2 linked regions of the Ovis aries genome follow. The protein of the gene in region 2 interacts with the protein of the main gene of each other region in a pairwise test. Links are inferred from orthologs where the notes say so. Each region holds a gene or a part of one and is shown on either strand. Other genes may lie near its edges.

Region 1 (10,303 bases), about 25 Mb from region 2:
TAAAACTGGCATTACCCTGTGTCAGGCGCTAAGTCGCGTCCAAACTCTTTGCAACCTTATGGATTGTAGCCCTCTAGTCTCCTCAGTCCATGGGATTTACCAAGCAAGAATAGTGGAGTGGGTTGCCATTTCCTTCTCCAGGGGATCTTCCTGACGCAGGAATTGAACCCATGCTGCCTGCATCTCCTGCATTGGCAGGCGGATTCTTTACCACTGCATACCGCACAATTACTAGAGTATAGAAAGTTTAAGATTCTGCACCATAGAGTATATGTTACCTCCTTCAGGTCTTTATTTTACACATATAAAAGATGCATTAAAGAGAAAATAAGTGTATTTGTGAGATTTCATGCATTATGGGCCCTTGTACTTGTGTTGCAAACTTCTAATTTTGCTTTAATTCTTAAGTATAGCTAGAAATTAGAGCTATTCAGATGACAATACTCTTTTGAAAGTATCAAAGTCTTCTAGAGAAAAATTTCTATGAACTGTTAAGTACCACTCCATGTATATACCCCATACATACTCCATGCATACTATCCACCATTGCAAACTCCTTTCCAAGCGCACTGGCCTAAAAAATGGGTAAGCAAGGTCTATAAGAAAGTGATCTTTCCATTATTCATCCTCATCCTCAAGAATAAGTGTCAGGAGAAATTTAAGGAAAGATAAGATGAGATTTTTTTGTTCCTAAAATGTAAACTCTGGATGAGAAACTGAGGGGAAAAAATTAAAACATATAAATAACAGTGTAAGATTCTGAAAAACAATTCCATAACTTTATAGACAGTGTCATGACATTAGAGGGTACACATCATGTGCTATTAAATGAAAAAAAGACGGAATGTGGAATACCTTGTGGGCCAGTGGTTAGGGCTTGGTGCTTTCACTGCTGGGACCTGGGTTCATTCCGTGGTTGGAGAACTAAGATCCCACAAGCTATGCAGCACTGCCAAGAAAGGAAAAAAAAAAAGCGCACAATCATAACAAGTTGCCCATAATTATAAATAAATATCCCCACAAAAAAATTCTAAAGTTTATAATACACAATAAAGATCAAGAGAGTGGTTCAGTGGGTGAAGTAATCTCTCTTGAACTGTAGTGGGTGGCCCTAGGGCAGGGATCTGGAGAATCAAAAGAATTTAGGAAGGGAGGGAGGAATAAGAACATTCTTCATAGATAGAACCATATGAGAAAACACACAGTGGAAAAATCTTGAATTGTTTTAACCTGTTTAATAGAAGCAGAGCTGTTTTTCAGTTGAGTCATGAGATAAAAAGTTAAGTTGAGGAAGTCCTTGAACACTAGGCTAAATATTTAGCTTTTATCATAAAACCAGTGGGATAGCATTTCAAGGTTTTGAGAAGGAAGATTAAAGCAGTGTTTTTTAGAAAATTCTGGAAAGCAGCAGCGTTGGAGACGGGATCATCAGCGTAATCACACTACAAAGTTGTATGTATGATTGGACTGCAACTACAACCAGACATGGGTTTGAACTGCAAGAGTCCACTGAAATCTAGATTTTTTTCGATAAATACATGTTATAGTACTACACAGTCCACGCAGTTGATTGAATCTGTTAATGCAGAACCACGTTTTGAGAAGGCCAACTATAAAATCATATATGGATTTTCATCTGCACAGGAATCAGCACCCCTAAAGCCTGTGTTGTTCAAGGGTCAATTATATATTTTACAGTGAAATCAAAAAGAAAGCAAAATTATCAAAATAGAAGAAAAATAATAGATGCAACCTGCTCTGAGGGGGAGTGTGTGTCGTGTGTGTGTGTCGCTAAGTCGTGTCTGACTCTCTGCGACCCATGGACTATAACCCGCCAGGCCCCAGGCTCCTCTGTCCAGCGTGTGTGTGTGTGTGTCTGTGTTTGTATGCCGCTAAGTCATGTAACCTGCCAAGCCCCAGGCTCCTCTGTCCATGGAATTTTCCAGGCAAGAACACTGGAGTGGGTTGCCATTACCTTCTCCAGAGGGAAATGTTTGAAGAAATACATACACCAAAATGTTAATAGTAGCTATATTTCTATAATAGGAAGATAGTTTTTAGCTACTTTTCTTAATTTTTCACTTGTTGTTGTTGTTGTTGTTAAACATGTACTACTTTTGAATTGGAAATGTAAATTAACCAGAATGTTAAAGTGTCACAGCTCAAGGGTATATGTTTTGGACAACCAGACTTATTTTCAGACATATGTCAGTTAACCAGGAAATTAGCCAGATTTTGAACATTTTCCATATCACATATGGGTACCATATGAATGTGCTGACCTTAAAATGTTAAAAGGCCAGAGTATGTTCTTCATCCAGTTACTCCACATCCAGTTACTCTCCACATGAGAGGCCTGTTTGGCAGCATCTCATGTATAATTCAAGCTGAACACCAAATGGCCTACTTATCACTCTGTACTCTCAGTGCAAACATTTAATCAGCGAAGGATTTTGAAACATGTCGCCTGTTTTCATTAGTGGCAGCAGGAGGAGATTCCGTAGTTGAGCCACTGGAATTAGGTTAGGCTACTGTAGCACACAGGAAGCAGAAGATAAGCAAATGAATTTAACCTGGCTTGGCAGACAAACACAGGACCATGTGGCCTATTTCTGTCTTCTAGAAATTTGATCATGTTGATATGGATATGTCTCTGACAATTCTGTAAACCATTTACAACTTCAGTGGAGAGAAACTCAAACATTGAACAAGCAGCTAAACTATTTGAGGGTTTTTTTTTTCTGACCGTTTTATATGTTAGCTTTGCTTTCTATTTTTCTGATTTCTAGGCAGTAGTAACGTTGGGGACACACTCCCCACTGGGCAGCTGTCCAACATTCCGTGGCGCCGCGCAGGGGTAAAGTACACAAACAATGAAGCCTATTTTGATGTTGTTGAAGAAATAGATGCAATTATAGATAAATCAGGTAATTGGGTGCATGTTTTCTTATCGGGGGAAAACCATTCAGGTGACAGAAGCGGAACAGAAAACTGATATCCCTTGGCAGTATCATGTACCGGAAAGGCATTCGTTTTCAAATCTGTTTATTTTGCCCAGGGGTTACATACAATTTTCATAACCACTAGTTGAGAAATGCCAAACGTTTGTAAATCAGAGTAAATAACCTTACTTTAAGCTAATTATCGTGTATTCATTTATCTTGCCATTTATCCAGCCTGATATGTAGTGTATGTCTACTGTGCACCATACTTTTTACAACCACTTTGTGTGCAGTCCTTCTAGTAAAGACCCCAGACTGAAGAACAGTACTGTATTAGAATCGTAATATTTTACTAAAGATATCTAGTCCAACTCTCACATGTTATGTATGGGGAAACTGAGACTTAGAAGAGTTAAATAACCTGTTAAAGGTCACACCACTAGTTGGTATGTGAAAATGACTTACTGTGAATTACAGACAATTATCTCTACAGTGAGTTGCATTTTTATTATAAAAATTCCATTGTATGGAATAGTTGCTGTACTGTTAAAGAATTATGGTTCCTACTTTTTAACATTTCATTAGAAACTTGGCTAATTTTATTTAAAATATTTGAACTTCAAAAAAAAAAATGTTCAAACAAACATTATTTACAGTTGCCAAGATGTGGAAGCAGCTTAAGTATTCATCAACAGATAAATGGATAAAGAAGATGTATATATGTACACAATGGAAAATTACTCAGCATAAAAATGAATGAAATTTTGCCATTTGCACAACATGGATGAACTTGAAGAACATTATGCTAAATGAAATAAGCCAGATAAAGAAAGATAAATACTATATATCACTTATATGTGGAATCTAAAAAATACAACAAACAAATGAATTTAACAAAAAAAAAGCAGACTCACAGATACAGAGGACAGATTAGTGTTTACCAGTGTGGAGTGGGGCAGTAAAGGGGTGGGAGAATGGGAGGTACAAACAGCTGGGGGTAAGACAGGCTCACAAGTACACTGTAAAACACAGGGAATATAGCCAATGTTTTGTAATAACTATAAATGGAAAGTAACCTTTAAAAATTGAATAGTTTTTTTTTTTTTTAATTTTAAAAGTCAGTGGAAAAAAAGTATTTTAACTTCACATCCAGCAGTCTTACAAGGCTGACTCTATAAAGATAAGGATGGGTTTGATTTTCCTTAGAATCATCCTGTTCCAACCGGAGACAGGAACAGCCTTGGCACTCAGTAAAGAAGTTGTCTAAACTGGTGTAATGGATCCTCTGTCCACTAACCTTTTAATAGATGTACAAAGCTTCAGTATGTCTGACACCTGGGAGATATCTCCATTACTTCAGATATAGTGATAGCTCTAGTAGGGTAGAGCTACTTTACTAGAATGCATGCATATTCCAGTGATACCTTTATTATTCCTTTAGGATCTACAGTCTTTGCAGAAATTCAGGGGGTCATCGATGCTTGCATTAAGCTCTCTGGAATGCCTGACCTTTCCCTCTCTTTCATGGTAAGTTTTGCTCTGTTTTGTAACTCCTTCGTGCCTAATATATATGAAGTACTAAATGAAATGATAAATACTGATACATGCTTCTTTCAGATCACATTGGATTATGTAAGAAGTATTCCTAGCACAGCTTCCAAAGACAGTAGCTTACATGATGAGCACTGCCTTTATGGATAGGCTGTGGAGAGGCTTTGCCTCTGAGTATGTTAGAAGTAGCTTAAATGGCTGGCTGGCTGCTGCGGATATGTAGTGCTGCTTTTACTGAGTTGTTATATGCTCTGTTGGTATGAAAAGGCATTGATCTTTTCATCATTTTAGATTCGGCATACTACACTACTGAGAACTGCTAAGAGAACTGAGCCCTGATGCTGTCTGTGCCTCTAACTTGTCCTGGCCTTGAGCTTTCTTTGAACCTCAGTTTTTTCATCTATGAAGTGGAAATGAAACCACTCACATTTTCTACCTCATGGGAATTACTGGAATTGAATTATTGAAATTCAAATAATAATGTATATAAAATATTTGTACACTTGAAAGCATTGTGAAACGATAAGCCTGAATAAACTTACATGACTGCTTTATCTTAAGGAAGCATATTTCTCAGATCTCATAATATATCTGACTAGAGTTGCCATATTCGTTTTACTTTATGAATATGCTTGTCTTCTCTTTTCCATGGCAGAATCCAAGGCTTCTAGATGATGTCAGCTTCCACCCCTGCATTCGGTTCAAGCGTTGGGAATCTGAAAGAGTTCTGTCGTTTATTCCTCCAGATGGAAACTTCCGACTCATATCATACCGTGTCAGCTCACAGAAGTATGTTGTTGTATCAACCATAATCTCCTGTCATCTATCAGTGTGCTGTGTAGAACTCACTTTTTCCCTGTTTCATTCTAACAGTTGGTTACTTGAATTCACCATTGCTCCCTTTAGCCATTGCTCACCAGGAGACCCAGAACAAACTGGTGAAAATATATGCGGAAAATATAATTAGTATACTTTGAATCTTAAGAGTATAGAGTAATAGTAAATATATACCTTAGAGCAAGCACTTGGGACCATGCATAACCTGGACGAAACCATGAACCCATGCCATAATTTTACTATGATCTGTGGACATTATGGCTGATAGAAGGAGACAGACTTACCTGTAGTTCTCCAGGACATCCCTCAACTAACTGGCTTGAAGTCACTCTTCTCTGCACTGAGGTTTAAATGAATGATTTAGCATCCTGGGTTGTAGCTGGTTTGTCCCTTGAAAACATCAGAAAGTATTTGGACAACATCAAAACAGAACTTAAAAGCAGAGGAATTTTTTCTTGGCTCTTATCACAGAGAAACTGATATATTTAGTTTGTGTAATTCGAAATTATCTTTCTCTGGGATCTTAATTCATTTCTTGAAACCAGGACTGTTTGTGCCAATTATTGATGCTATAATTTTATCTTGATTTGTATACTTACTGCTCAGAAATTGTATAATTTCTGGCACAGTGGTTCCACAACACCGCTGTACTCAACTGCCCTGGCTCAGATACTGAACCTGCGGTTCTGCGGGTATTGGATATTCTATACTAGGGTTTTTGTGCCACCTCCAGAGCTCACACTATTAATTGTATGTTTTTTGTGGTTGTGTCTGTCTTTCTCTTTTTAGTCTAGTGGCAATACCAGTATATGTGAAACACAGCATCAGTTTTAAGGAGAACAGTTCTTGTGGTAGATTTGATATTACAATTGGACCAAAGCAGAATATGGGGAAAACTATTGAAGCAATCACGGTGACCGTTCACATGCCGAAAGTTGTGTTGAATATGAACCTGACACCAACACAAGGCAGCTATACTTTTGATCCAGTTACCAAGGTACAGTCACCTAAAATCAAGAGTGAGCAAGTGTTTCTGCAATCCTTATTTTGTGATTTGGGGACATGGGAGGACAGAGGGAAGGGTCTAATATCTTGGTTGAAATTAAAGCTCTAACAGCCTAGAATGCAGATTGTGCTGTGCTCTGCCACAGGAGAGAATCTTGCATCTGCTGCTAAGTTGATGAGCAGAAAAGTGAGATTCATTCCTTCTTCCTTCAGAATCTGCCTTTTCTTATACATTGATAATCCAGAGGTTCACTAACTCTTCAATGAGGAAGATATAAAAACTTTTTAAAAAGAGAAAAGCATTATGTGCATATAATAATCTATTAATGGTTAATAGATATTACAGTGTATTAATTGTTAAGAAATTAAGATCTTTCTCTTCCTTTTTAATTTAAAAGCATTATTTCATACTCTTCTACAGAGGATGCTGACTAGGAAAGTTGCCTTCTCACCCTCTATATGTTTGCCTCTAGCAGAGGGAGTTCAGAGAAACTGTAAAAGCTGATTTTTCTCTCTGCTTCCTGCTTGGGTAAAGGAATGATTCTTTTCCTCAATAGAGTCATTGAGCTGCATAGTAAATGAAAAGTCTTTTTTTATTTAACTATAAAATCATTGAATGTTAAAGATCATCTAATCTATTCCTAAGAAGTCAAAGAATCTCCCCAGAGACCACACAGGGCTGAGAAATTAAGCAGGAGCTCCAGATCCCTAGCCTTCACCCCAGCTTCAACCATAACAGCTTTATTTTCTCATCTGTTACTGAGCTCCCTCACTAGGTATTTCATTTGAACAAAGGGTTCCATCACTAAAAGTTTAAAAGCACTGATTTAGGCCCATCTTCTCATTTTACAGAAAACTAAACTTAAGCCCAGAGAGAAACAGTAAAGATGGCATAGTGGAAAGGATGTTTGATACCAGATAGCCTTAGGGTCAAATCCCAACCTTTCCTCTAGCTATGTGACCTTCAGCAAGTCATCTGACTCCAGCTTTAGTTTCTTTGTTTGTCAAAATTAGACAAAGTTTTACATCACAGACTTCCGAGACAGCGTGAGAATAGTGCTGAGCACAGTATTATATCCAAAAGTAGATGCTCAACAAATGCATCTACTCCTTTTTTCACTCCCCATTCAGAGTCACAGAACTAACTAGTGGTAAAACTCAGTGGGAATCCCAGGTCTCTTATTCCAAGACACTGTGCTTTATTTTCTACAGAAGTTTATGGTCTTTGAACCTTGTCTTTGAACATTTGTCTTTAATAAATAGTTCAGAATGTTTTCTGTTTTTTTCTTTCTAAGGTACTAACGTGGGATGTGGGGAAAATCACTCCACAAAAGCTCCCCAGTCTTAAAGGACTGGTAAATTTACAGTCTGGGGCTCCCAAGCCAGAAGAGAATCCAAGCCTCAACATACAGTTCAAGATCCAACAGCTTGCTATTTCAGGTAAGGAGAAATTTGATGTGTGTAAGGGTTAACTGAGTTTTGCTGAGGTCAGCTGCTAGGAGCTTCGAAGAGTAACTGACATTCCGTCTCTTCAAAGAGCAACTACTCCAGTATGCCTCTCACTCTCCTTGATTTTTGAGAGTGATTTTGGAGAGCACCTTATTTCACATAGCTTCCCTTCACCCCTACCCTCATTCAGGCACAAAGAAAGAAATCATTTATACTCAAAGAAAGTAGAATTATCCTTAAAAGACATTGCTTGTCCATATGGGAATCTGAACTAAAATCATACCCTCCTAGTACTTGAATCTGTGAATGCTAGAAGGAACATTGCTTCCAGATCTTGAAATGGACACTGGCTAATGTCAGATTTACTGTATAGTAAACTGTTTCTTAAGCAAATATTGTACTGGTTGGTGTGACCAGGACTGTAATTTGTTCCTTTCCTTATGTGTTCTTTTTGACACAGGCTTAAAAGTAAACCGCTTGGACATGTATGGGGAGAAATATAAGCCATTTAAAGGAGTCAAATACGTCACAAAAGCTGGAAAGTTCCAAGTGAGGACATGAGAAGAGGCCAGAATTCCTGAAGATTTATTTGTTTTCCAGGCGTCATCACAATGTATTACTATTAGGTACCAATTGGGTGGGAATACATATTCTAGTTAAAGCATTTATGTCTAGCCACATACCGCTAACAGAGTTGCTTAGTTATCGATGCAGGGTTCTTAAGGAACTTTAAGCTAAGGAAACTTCTGAATGACTTAGCTTATTTGTACCTTGTCACTTAGGAAAGTTTTAGAGGTGATTTCCTCCATAGGAAGGCACCAGCTAGAGGCTGCACATTTTCACAGTCAAGGCAGAAGTCTACAGTGATAACCTCTCCCCTAAAACAAGTGAACCGGTCTCAGCCAGCAGACGCTGTCTTAGTCTGTAACGTGATGTATCAAGTGGAGCCAAGTGTCACACTTGATCGTAGCCATCCCCAATCATCTGTCCCAACAGAGGAATAGTTCCTCCCACCCAAGAAGTTTACAAAAAACTGCCTCTTCAAGTGTTTGCCTTATTCAGCTTTTCACTTGTGCCATTAAGCAAGCACTGTAGCAAAAGCCACTCCACATGGCCCTGGCAGGGAGCACTGCTGCTCCATGCTCCATTCTCACTGTACTTGGTATTGTATTTTTTATAAATAAGATTTTTATGTAAAGCTGATTTTGATTTATAGGGACCTTGCTGCAGGAAGTACACTCTCAGTTTTGTGCCACTTAGCTCATCTGTTAGCACAGTAAAAGTCATTTGTATCAAAGGGGCAAATGCTCTAAGGTAATAAAAGGGAACACTACTTCTACTTCTGCTTTTAGGAAGTTATTGCAAGCACAAGCATTTGAGATTTTGAGCAAACTAACATAGTAAAAGAGAAACTTAAGTGAACCTTTGCCGTCTTCATGTTTTATAAAGCTTGTCTGATACCACTTAGAACCAATTAGCCTAAAGCCCTCATGCCCTAGTTCAGCTAAAGGAAGAAAATGTGCCTGCCTCAATACTGTCAAATTATTATTTTTTTAATCTTTTATCTTTTTTCTTTCCTTTTCTTAATGGATTCAGTTTGCCTACATTCTTTGCTTTCAGGGGGACTCCCTTTACATAGTGTGTGCTACCCAAGGCTATAGTCAAAAGATTCCTCTCTGAAACTATTGTTGAAACTGTCACTGGAATACTTAAATATCTCTACTCTACTGACCAAGTAGGTGAAAGTACATATATAATAAGGCAGAAACAAAATCCTCAGTAACATTGATAAACCTGTATTGATCTTTGTGGTTGGCGAGTCAGCCCGCAGTTATCTTTTAACTTGGATGACTTAGAAGTCCTTGCCCACTTATTTTGGTTCATTAGACATGAAGAATAAAGTTAAGATCTAAGTGCTTGTTCTTGCTATTAGTTTTCTCCCTGTAACTCCATTCATTTTGTTCTTCTCAACTTATAATTCCCTTTCCCATATGCTAACAGTAGCCCTTCCACTCACCCCATTCTCCTGTCAAGGGCTGGTGGTTGGTGCTGATATAGGGAGCCCACTGCACAGCAGCATTCTTTGCTGCCTATGGCACCAAGCCTGCCTTCCATCTAATCTGAAAGATCACATTTTGCAGTTTATAGGACAACCAGTATCAGCTTGGCAGCTAAAATTAAGATGTTGCCAAATGTTTATTCCCTTTGCATAAGGTTGGTTACCAAGTTCAGTTGCTTTTCATTTTAATGTCTTCCTTTTCAGAGTTCATACCTCAAAAGAGCGATCAATACATTTGTTCTTCTTTCTGCAGAATCCCTCAACCATCCATATATGGACTAATTTTCTTTCTCTACTACCCTCCCAAATCCCAGCAGATTGTATGCCAAGAGTCCTTTGCCTCTAGTAACTTCTGCTAAAACTTCCAAGGAGACTGTTTCCTTTTATAATTAAATTATTGTATTTATTAATTTGATGGAATCCAGTAAGTCCTTTCTCCAGCTCTGGCTACACTGTCAAT
Region 2 (10,303 bases):
AGTCTATAGGGTTGGCAAGAGTTGGACAGGACTGAAGCCAGTTAGCATGCACACGCACACACAAGGAAGGCTTCTAATAGCAAAATGAAAAGTTGGCAAGCACGTCTTCCTCAAATGAGTTCTCACAAGTGTCACTCATTTTTGTGTGTCTGAAATAAATAGGATTACATTCAATACATGTGCAGAAATAAATGGTTTCGCCAAATTTAGAGTTTTCTCTCTGCCTCGGTTTTAAATATAGAACCACAGCATCCCTTGCAATGTCTCATAGACCAAGTCGTAGTGATGTTTTCGTAATTCTGTGTATCCTATTGCTGTCCCCCGTGTTTAACTGGGATCATTAGCTGTGCTTTCAATCTTTAGATGGTAAAGCCTTGTTCCTGCCACATTCCTTCCTATAATAAATTAGCAACCATAATACCTCTGGAATCTCATGGCATCACCAATTCTCAGTTTATTTGTCCATGACCACAGTGTGTGTTTCCCCTTTTCTTCGTCATTGAAAAATGAATTCATTTGTAAGTCAAAACGAGCCAGGTCCAGATGTTGGCAGCCCACCTCCGTACCTGTTACTGATTGTAGTCAACCTTTCAGAAGTTCGCCCAGCAATCAGTCATCGTCCAGCGACCCCGGACCAGGCAGCAGCGGACCCTGGAGACCACAAGTTGGATACGACGGGTACCACTCCTTTTCCCCTTTTGTGGGCTCCTGGGGGGACATGTCTTCAGGGCACATTCAGAAGCACTTACTGTGCACAAGGCCACTGGGGACAGAGAGACTCAGATAGCACTTTGTTAGGGCCAGTGCTTCCAGACTGGGTAGCTCATTGTTTCTGTGAAAGTGGACTCATTTGTCTATATTCTGAACTTGTCTGTTTTCTTTTCTTTTCTTCTTAATAAGGGAGAGTCTTTTTGAACACATGAAAATTAAGAATTTGGAGACTCTGTGGGTGATGGCCCTTGGGAGTTTCCCTTCACTTACATTGCTGACGAGGAATAAATTCACAGTCTTTCTTGAAAGTGTTTTTCTCTCTAAAACACAGCCCAGAGTCTGAGGAGGCAGATTTAGCATGTGACACATTTCCTCTGCCTCCTTGAGAGCAAGTGGAAGCTGGGGGCAGGGCTGTCCCTTGTGTGCACACAGTGCCCAGGGGCCTGAGGGCACCTATGGACAGGACCCAGGATGGATGGACGCAGTAACTCAAGGAAAATAGCTGCACACTCTTGGGAAGAGGAGGGCCGCCCCAGGAATGTGGCTGTATTTTTATAAGGAAATGCAGGTGTTGCCCCCAGCAGCAGTGTTTCTGTGCATTGTTGCAAGCCAGTGTTGCCTCTGCCACTTGAAGGAGCTGGGTGCACTGCTGAGATGATGGACTGTCCAGGCAGCTGGGGGGCCTTGCACCAGATAAGAGACGCTTCTGTTCCTCCTCTCACATGTGCCCAGGGAAACCCTCTCCTGGGACCCTCTCTCCTTCTGGTTTGGGCTGAGAAGTAGAGATTTATAGTCCGAGTTATATGCATTCCCTGCTTTAGATGCTGGATGGGGTTCTTAAAAGTTGTACTTTTTTTTTTTTTTTTAAATTTTTGAGATGGTTAGATAGCCTCACAGATTCAATGGACATGAATTTGAGCAAACTCTGGGAGATAGTGAAGGACAGGGGAGCCTGGTGTGCTACAGTCTATGGGGTCACAAAGAATTGAATATAACTTAGAGACTGGAAAACAATAACAAAAATGTTGTACCTAAAGAAATCTTTCTTGTTTGAGTTGCATTTTTAAAGTAGATGGGGGAGGCTTTATGTCAGTGGAAAAAGCATGTCTTGGCTTTTTCTGCAGATCAGGATTTAGAACTGGAATTCTGGAAGAAAGGGTCCCTTTATAACATGAATAAGCTTTCTGCAGTTTCCTTTGGAAGAGTAAATTGTCCTATTTGGGGATTTTCATAAAGCAAAAGTCCGGCCAGATGTAGTCTAGCAGCAAATGGATCTGATTTTCTTTTTCCTTAAAAAAGTTGATATGAAGAAGCATCAGTACATGCACTCAGGAGAAACAGTGGCAGCAAAAGCAACGGGCTCGTGTTCAGTCCACAGGGACCCGAACAGTCCTTTCAGCCCCTGGTGCTGGCCGCCTCCTCTATCTGTAAATGGTGTCATCCGGGTGCCTCTTTGGACCCAGGGGTGACAGAGGAGCCCCCAGGTCCAGATGCTCTAAGCTGCTCTGTCAGGCAGAGCTGCGGCAGCAGAGAGCCTCTGACGAGGGATCCCTGGGGTTGCCCCTCGGAACCAGCACCCACAGGGACACTGGCGAGACAGCGTGCGGGCGCGCCTCAGCTCTGTGTTCTCTCCAGGTGCCAGTCTCCCCTGCTGCTGGAGCACCAGGGCTCCGGCCCCTTGGAATGTGACGGAGCCAGGGAGCGGGAGGACACCGCGGAAGGGAGCAGACACGCTGGTAACCCGGACTCCCGCCCCTCGCGTGCCCCTCTCCTGCCCCTTCCTCCCCCTTCACTGGTTCACTCATCCATTCCCGTCTGGCCAGCACCATCCTGCCCTGTGCAGGGTAGCTGCTGGGCCCCCAAGGTCATCCGGGATGTGCTCGTAGCTGGTGGTGCCTGGGAAACTGACCGTGAGCATCGTGGGGTGGTTCTGTCTGCTCTGAGGACCTCTCTGTGGGTAGGACCAGAAGGTCCTACAACCAGTCCTGATGGTGGTCACTGAACCACAGTGTTTGGCCCCTGAGTTTCTCTGCTCCTCTGTTAATGCTAGAGATTAGATCTTTAAGGCTTCTCTCTCTGTGTGTGACAGAAACCAAATGGCATGGCCCGCCTTCCAAAGTCCTGAGCTCCTATAAGGAAAGAGGCCTGCAAAAGGATGGAGGTTGCAAGGATTCTCCCAATAAGCTTTCTCACGTGAGTCTTGTCATGAACCAACGCTTCTGTTCATCTCAGCACTCGTGTTTTATTAGCATTGTTGCCAGGGATTCTCAGTGGCATCACTTATCTCATAAGGGTCTCGGGTGAAGTTAAAAAGAAAAAAAAAAAGTGGGGAGGTTCTTTTTTCTCTCTCTCCTTTCATAAAGAAATACAGAGAAAAGTCATCCCGTAAACTATTGGCAAAGCCAGGACTGTAACCTCAGCCTTTGATGCTTGGTGGTTTTAATCTGTTGACTATTATCCGCATGTGGGCAAAATACAGAAGCAGAACCTGTGCGGCAGGGTGTGCGGTGGGTGATGCTGTGCCTGGTACCGGCCGCTCAGGGAGCAGCTGCAGACGGCATGCAGGGACACCGGCAGCAGCCACCTGCCAGGCTTCCCGGGGTCCCACAGCGCCCATGTGGTTCTGTTTACTCTTTGCAGAAATGAAAAGGAGCCATGTAGGTGACTGTAGCTCAGTGAAATGAAACTACCAGTTAAATGTGCAAACAGGAATTTTAGTTGTTGCCAGATGAAGCCAACCTTATAAAGTAGCTCATTTTTCAAAATTTGCAGACGTCTTATCAGGTCCTGACCCAAGTTGTTCCTTTTCTTCTCCTCCTCCACGTGTCATTGGCCAGCCTCAGAGCTGTTACCTGCAAACATGTGGCCTCCATCTCTCAGCTTGTCTTGAGCCGGCCTCGCGGAGCCAACTGATGGCGCCAGCACACGGGCAGTGGGGGAGGGGAAGGGTGAACTTGAGAAGATCCACTTGTGATAACAGAGGGCATCGGGATTTGCTTAAGGATCTGATAGGGTGGAGGGAAAGAGGGAAGAAGAGAGGGATGGAAGGAAGAAAGGGAAGACGGAAAGAAGGAAGGGCCAGACCACTTGAAAATCACAGGTGGCTGGGTCTCGTGACTCCACAGCCCTAGGCTGACCATCCAGGCTGAGAGGAGGGGTCGTGTCTGTACCAGAACATCATCAGATGGGACGTTTAGTCTGCTCTCTTGGTTTCATCTTCCAGGGACCTCCGTGCACCCCCAAGAGCACCCCATCTCATCAACCCCGGGTCTCCCCTGACTGGGGCTCTGGGGGTGGGTGTGGATCATGCTTAAACAGTGCTTCTGCACGCGTGAACTGGTTGGGTCTGCACAGTAATCCCTGTGCTCAGTATAATAAGCACAGAGAGGAGCTGAGTGACTGGCCAAGATCCCCCCTACTGTGATTCAAACCTGGGTCTTCTACCCCACACCCAGGACTGGCCCTGTCCCTTGTCACAGGAGCATTCTCTGAAGAAAGGCTGTTTCCCTCCTCTTAATTCCCCATGTACTTCCCCAGCTTCTAGAACCTTCGTTAACTGCTTTCCGATTAGTGACAGTGTGGCAATACTTTTGTGTTGATGTACAGATAATTGAACAAAGACTTGAAAAGATACCCATTTAACTTAGGATGAATGATGGGAGGAATTATGACTCAGGGACTTTTGCATGAAACCAGGATGTTTTTGAAAAGTAAATTCTTGCCTTGCTTCCTGCTGACAAGCGAGTAGAAAGGGTTCGGGTGAAATCATCAGGTCTGTAGCTTCGTGAGTCTGGGGAGAATAATCGCCTTCGTGTAGAAGCAAAGTGTAGGGTTTGTCTGAAGCCTCCCCATTTCTCTCCTCTCAAGATCGGAGATAAAAGCTGCTCCAGCCACTCCAGCAGCAACACGCTCTCCAGCAACACCTCCAGCAACAGCGACGACAAGCACTTTGGGTCTGGGGACCTCATGGATCCCGAGTTGCTGGGGCTGACGTACATCAAGGGGGCCTCCACGGACAGTGGCATTGACACGGCCCCGTGCATGCCTGCTGCAGTCCTGGGCCCCGTGCACCTGGCGGGCAGCCGGTCCCTGATCCACGGGCGGGCAGAGCACTGGGCCGACTCTGACATCCCGGGGCCCGACGACGAGCAGGCCAGGATGTACGCAGCCCATGGCTATGCGCCTGGCATCTCCACCAGTGGGGCTGCCGACGGCAGCCTGGGCGACCTCAGCGAGATTTCGTCCCACTCCAGGTAAGGACCTCCCCATGCTGTGACTGGCAGCTACTCGGCGCTGTCATCTGCTGCTGGGGTGGGGGCAGGGGCCTGAAATAGGACCAGAAGGTGCCTGAGATCATTGTCACCTGTGGGCCAAACTGCCTGGCTTCAGATGGAGGGCTTATGTCCAGAGTCTCATTTGAAATGTGCATGTGAACAAGTTTGTGATTACATCTTCCTTTCTCTTTAAATTGGAGAGAAAATGAAACAGATGCTCACGGCAGTCATCAGGCTACTCATGTTTCTCTGCAGTTCAATGTGTTGTCCCTGGGACTTCCCTGGTGGCCCAGTGGTTAGCACTCCATGCTCTCACTGCAGCAGGCGTGGGTTCGACCCCTGGTTGGAAAACTAAGATCTCATGCGCCTCCCAAAAGGTGAAAGGTTCAGTTTGTTGTCCCAGATTTTCAGGAGGTGTGGTACCAGCTGGACGGTACTCAGATGACGACGGACAGTAAGGAGGGGTGGTCTCTGTGTTGCCGCCTGAAAGCCTGTGCCCCATTCTCCTGTTCCACGGGCCCCCTTACACAGCTGTGTGCTGGAAATGTGTTCAGATTGATGATCCACTTTCTTTTTCAATATAATGACTAGTTACATTTAAAGGAATTACGTTCTAACTGTAGATGTTTAATATATTTTTATGAGTAGTTTTCAATTCCCATATGACAAAAGTGTACAGTGACTTTAAAATGCATCACTGGAGATTCCTCCCCTCAAAGACTAAGCAAAGAGCTGCATTGATACAGGTTTGGCCGTGGCTAGAATTTCCTGCACACCAACGACCCCTGTCATTTTCCTTCTTGTCTGCAAAGCCTTCCCTCCTTCAGCTGAGTCATCGTCTGACTTTCCCCCAGAACCCTTCCAGGTGCTGGACTGTAGCCAGATGAACGGTGATAGGGCTGTCCCTCCAGGCATCCAGGGCCATGGCCAGTGACGATGCTCAAGGCCGGCACTGGGCTCAACAGGCAGGCCTTGTGCTCCTTGGCCCTGCCCTTCACTCCACCTGCTCCTCATCCTCACGTGGTCTCTGCTGAGCCTGGAGGGATGAACCAATGGACCATAGCGAGGCTCGCTGTGACCTCACACGGACACGTGAATTGCATCGGCCATCCTCTCAGTTGAGGCAGAGACCTCATCAGCGGTGCCTTGATTTTCATGACTGATACCATGGGATATGTCTCATCTTGTTGAAAAAAGTTTTAGACTTCTTAGTTCAGTTCAGTTCAGTCGCTCAGTCGTGTCCGACTCTTTGCGACCCCATGAATCGCAGCACGCCAGGCCTCCCTGTCCATCACCAACTCCCGGAGTTCACTCAGACTCACGTTCATCGAGTCCATGATGCCATCCAGCCATCTCATCCTCTGTCATCCCCTTCTTCTCCTGTCCCCAATCCCTCCCAGCATCAGAGTCTTTTCCAATGAGTCAACTCTTCACATGAGCTGGCCAGAGTACTGGAGTTTCAGCTTCAGCATCAGTCCTTCCAAAGAACACCCAGGACTGATCTCCTTTAGAATGGACTGGCTGGAACTCCTTGCAGTCCAAGGGACTCTCAACAGTCTTCTCCAACACCACAGTTCTAAAGCATCAATTCTTCGGCATTCAGCTTTCTTCACAGTCCAACTCTCACATCCATACATGACTACTGGAAAAACCATAGCCTTGACTAGACGGACCTTTGTTGGCAAAGTAATGTCTCTTCTTTTGAATATGCCATTTAGGTTGGTCATAACTTTCCTTCCAAGGAGTAAGCGTCTATTAATTTCATGGCTGCAATCACCATCTGCAGTGATTTTGGAGCCCCCAAAAATAAAGTCTGACACTGTTTCCACTGTTTGCCCATCTATTTCCCATGAAATGATGGGACCGGATGCCATGATCTTCATTTTCTGAATGTTGAGCTTTAAGCCAACTTTTTCACTCTCCTCTTTCACTTTGATCAAGGGGCTTTTTAGTTCCTCTTCACTTTCTGCCATAAGGGTGGTGTCATCTGCATATCTGAGGTGATTGATATTTCTTAGTCCTGGAAATTAACATAAGTTAATTTTTTTACATAAATTGAAAGGGCGAAGATGCCTGCACACACACACATGCTTGCTGCTGCCTTCCTGCTTTTCTTTTCCTGTCACTAACATCATCATCTGTGTCTTAGTAGCACAAATGATCATTTTGTAACCTTCTAATGTTTGTTCAAAGTGTAGCAGATTTGTAAAGCGGCTGGTTTTCTGATAACCTTGCTAGACAAGTGTAAAAGGCATCACAAACAGAATTTTGCATTACTGTTGAGGAAAATTTCTGCTTTCAGAGCACCTTCATTTATGAGTAGAGTTGGGATATCAATAGGGACTTGAAGTAGGATTTCTGGAGTACCTTGCTGCTGCTGCTAAGTCGCTTCAGTCGTGTCCAACTCTGTGCGACCCCAGAGACGGCAGCCCACCAGGCTCCCCCCATCCCTGGGATTCTCCAGGCAAGAACACTGGAGTGGGTTGCCATTTCCTTCTCCAATGCATGAAAGTGAAAAGTGAAAGTGTAGTTGCTCAGTTGTGTCCGACTCCTAGCGACCCCATGGATTGCAGCCTACCAGGCTCCTCCATCCATGGGATTTGCCAGGCAAGAGTACTGGAGTGGGTTGCCATTGCCTTCTCCTCTGGAGTACCTTAAGCATCCATTAATGTGATGGGTCAGATGAGTAGAAAGAACTGGGAGGTGCTAGACTGCATTTCTGGCTGATGTTGCTCCTTCCCCGCCCCTGCTTTACGCTGAACATGTGCACAGCGGTTGTAGAAGGGCCATGGGCCACGTGAGGGTCTTCTTTGCCACCCAGAAGCCTTTTTCTTGCCATTCTTAGTGGACAGTGACTTTAAAGCCACATTTCGACTTCAGTTGCAGGCTTTTGTTCATGTGGAATTTGTCAATAAATTAAATCTTTTGAGCACTTCTTCCTCCTGTCTGTCCCCTGCAGAAGGGCTAGAGAAAGTAAATTTAAATATTCTAATTTTTTAGTTTTAAATTTGTTTAATGATTTTTAATTTTAAAATGTTTTTAAGTATTTTTAAGTGCTGTCTATATTAATATTTTATATTTAAAGTAAGATTTGAAATATTGGTGTGTCGAGGCAAAAGGAACTTGGCTCATTAGCGCATAACAGACCTAGCTACCTCAGCGGTGCTGAGACTTGGCAGATCCAGAAATGCTGGGGCCCAGCCTGGGGCACCCGTTCTCCGTGATGATGAGTGTCGTCAGCTGTGCGCTTGTATGGTCAGCTCAGAGCTGAGGCCCACTGCCCAGGGTCTCAGTTGTAACCAGGAGTGGTCCAGGGAGTGAAAGAGGAGAAGAGGCTCTCAGGGGCTGGCATCGGCACTGAGCATCCTGGCTAGTTGCCCCCTGCCCCGCACACTCTATCTCACCTTGTCTCAGCTGCTTCTCAGCACTCCCGCCCTGGCTGATGTCGACCGAATAAGGGAACTCTCTACTTTCAGCTTGTGACAATCCTTTTGTTGTGCGGGGAGCCCTCGTTCACCTCTGGAGGCCAGAAACCGCTGATGGCTGTGACGTTTCTTGCGCTGTGACGTTTCTTGCCCACCGACGTGGCAGCAGATCTTTTCATTCCACAGTGAGGTGGTCTGTGCTCACAGCTTATCCTATCCCATCCGCATCGCCCCCCACCCCGGCTGCAGTCTTCCCTTCAGTGAAAAGCCGGGGCCTGTCTCCTGCACTTGTACCCGCAGCACTTAGCACAGGCTCCTAAACGTGGGAGGCATTGCAGTGTTTGTTGAATGCGGGAAGGAAGTCTAAGAAGACTGTTGATAAGCATTTGTTGATTGAGTTAGTAAACCAGTGCCTGGATAGCCAAGGGAGATCGGAGGTGCAGAGGTTAACTGTGCCCAGTGTCCGGAGCCCAGACCTGTATATGAAACACCCTTCACGCTTTGATTCTGGGTTTTCGTCACCAGCGACCACTACCATCCCCACCAGCCCCGCCACACATGCACATGCTCCCAACAGCCATCCAGGAATAAAGCAAGTGTGAGTTGTGTATGTGGTATTTTTCTGGGATTGTACTGAGAACAGGGAAGAGATTTACAACTCGCAAAGACAAGCCGCACTGGTGTGAGGGGGGACCGGGGTGCAGGGGTAGATGTGCAGGAATCACCACCCGTTAACCAGCACCAGCATATCCCCAGCCTGTTCTCTCCTGCTGCTCCGGGCTTCTAATTCAGCAAACCCGTTTGGGTTGGTTTGTTTTTTTTTCCTGCAAGGGCAGGGCACTTAGATAAGAGCTCAGAATACAAAGCTGTATTCATCTGAGTCTAACCAAGCTTTTGCAAAGCGAAATAAATCAACTGCCAAAAAAACAAGACAAAAAAACCCATGTTCTGTATTCTTCTGTAAATGGCTCATGTGATTATCTGTTGCTTACCCTTATTCATGTCATCACACTCTTAGTACAAAGGATGGGAAGTTGGCAGTAAAACTCTAAAATAATAACTCGAGTCTAGAAGGAAAAGATTCCCCCAAATTTTATTGCTAACAGTCTAGGATGTTTACCAGCTTCAAAGAAAAACAATGCTACTGCTGCTAAACACAGGTTTTTGCCATATTGCTTGTCAAATGGATTCAATACATTTGTTCTTAGAGTTTAACTTTAAAATTTCTTACGATTGGGGTAAAAGACATTTTTAATCAAGCCTAAGTGAGGAAAACCTATTTTATAAACAAATGGAAAAACCCATCAGGCTTGGACCATACTATTGTTATTCACAACACATTCTCCAAAAACGTGTCATTTGGTGATTTCAGAAGCTAAATTTGAGTGTTCCATGCATCGTATTAATTATATTAGACTAGGGATGCCCTGGGCTTCCCAGGTGGCACTAGTGGTAAAGAACACACTTTCCAGTGCAGGAGCCACAGGAGGCACGGGTTCAGTCCCTGCGTCTGGAAGATCCCTTGGAGGAGGGCATGGAAATCCACTCTCATATTCTTGCCTGGAGGATCCGCATGGACAAAGGAGCCTGGAGGGCTACAGTCCATAGGGTCACCAAGAGTCAGAGATGACTGAAGCGACTTAGTACGCATGCATGCATGGATACCCTAGACTTTAACTCTAAAATAACTCAGGGATAATCAAAGGCTTTGAAATGCATGATAGCTAAAGGCAATGCACAGTCCTGCCCTGGGTTTTGAATGGGGAAACTGAAGCCATAAGCATTGTTGGACAGCTGAGAAATAAGACTATAGAGTGGGTATTAGGTAATAATATTGCATTAATGCCTGATTTGTGATTATCACATTGGTCCTCTGTGGGAGAGTATCTCTAT

What was found. The genes of interacting proteins can lie anywhere in the genome.
Region 1: the proteins of SIPA1L2 (region 2) and AP3M1 interact in binary tests that used the Homo sapiens proteins (3 or more experiments, as listed by UniProt). The two-hybrid records come from large-scale screens. The link is inferred for Ovis aries from reciprocal best matches to the Homo sapiens genes SIPA1L2 and AP3M1.

The regions. Positions count from the first base shown.
Region 1 is NC_056078.1:29,208,564-29,218,866, reverse strand, and holds part of AP3M1 (AP-3 complex subunit mu-1), read left to right. Parts: intron 1-2,789; coding exon 2,790-2,927; intron 2,928-4,383; coding exon 4,384-4,469; intron 4,470-5,148; coding exon 5,149-5,282; intron 5,283-6,119; coding exon 6,120-6,327; intron 6,328-7,630; coding exon 7,631-7,775; intron 7,776-8,244; coding exon 8,245-8,345; 3' UTR 8,346-10,303. UniProt on the Homo sapiens protein: Part of the AP-3 complex, an adaptor-related complex which is not clathrin-associated. The complex is associated with the Golgi region as well as more peripheral structures.
Region 2 is NC_056078.1:4,617,570-4,627,872, reverse strand, and holds part of SIPA1L2 (signal-induced proliferation-associated 1-like protein 2), read left to right. Parts: intron 1-594; coding exon 595-678; intron 679-2,346; coding exon 2,347-2,447; intron 2,448-2,800; coding exon 2,801-2,904; intron 2,905-4,578; coding exon 4,579-4,964; intron 4,965-10,303.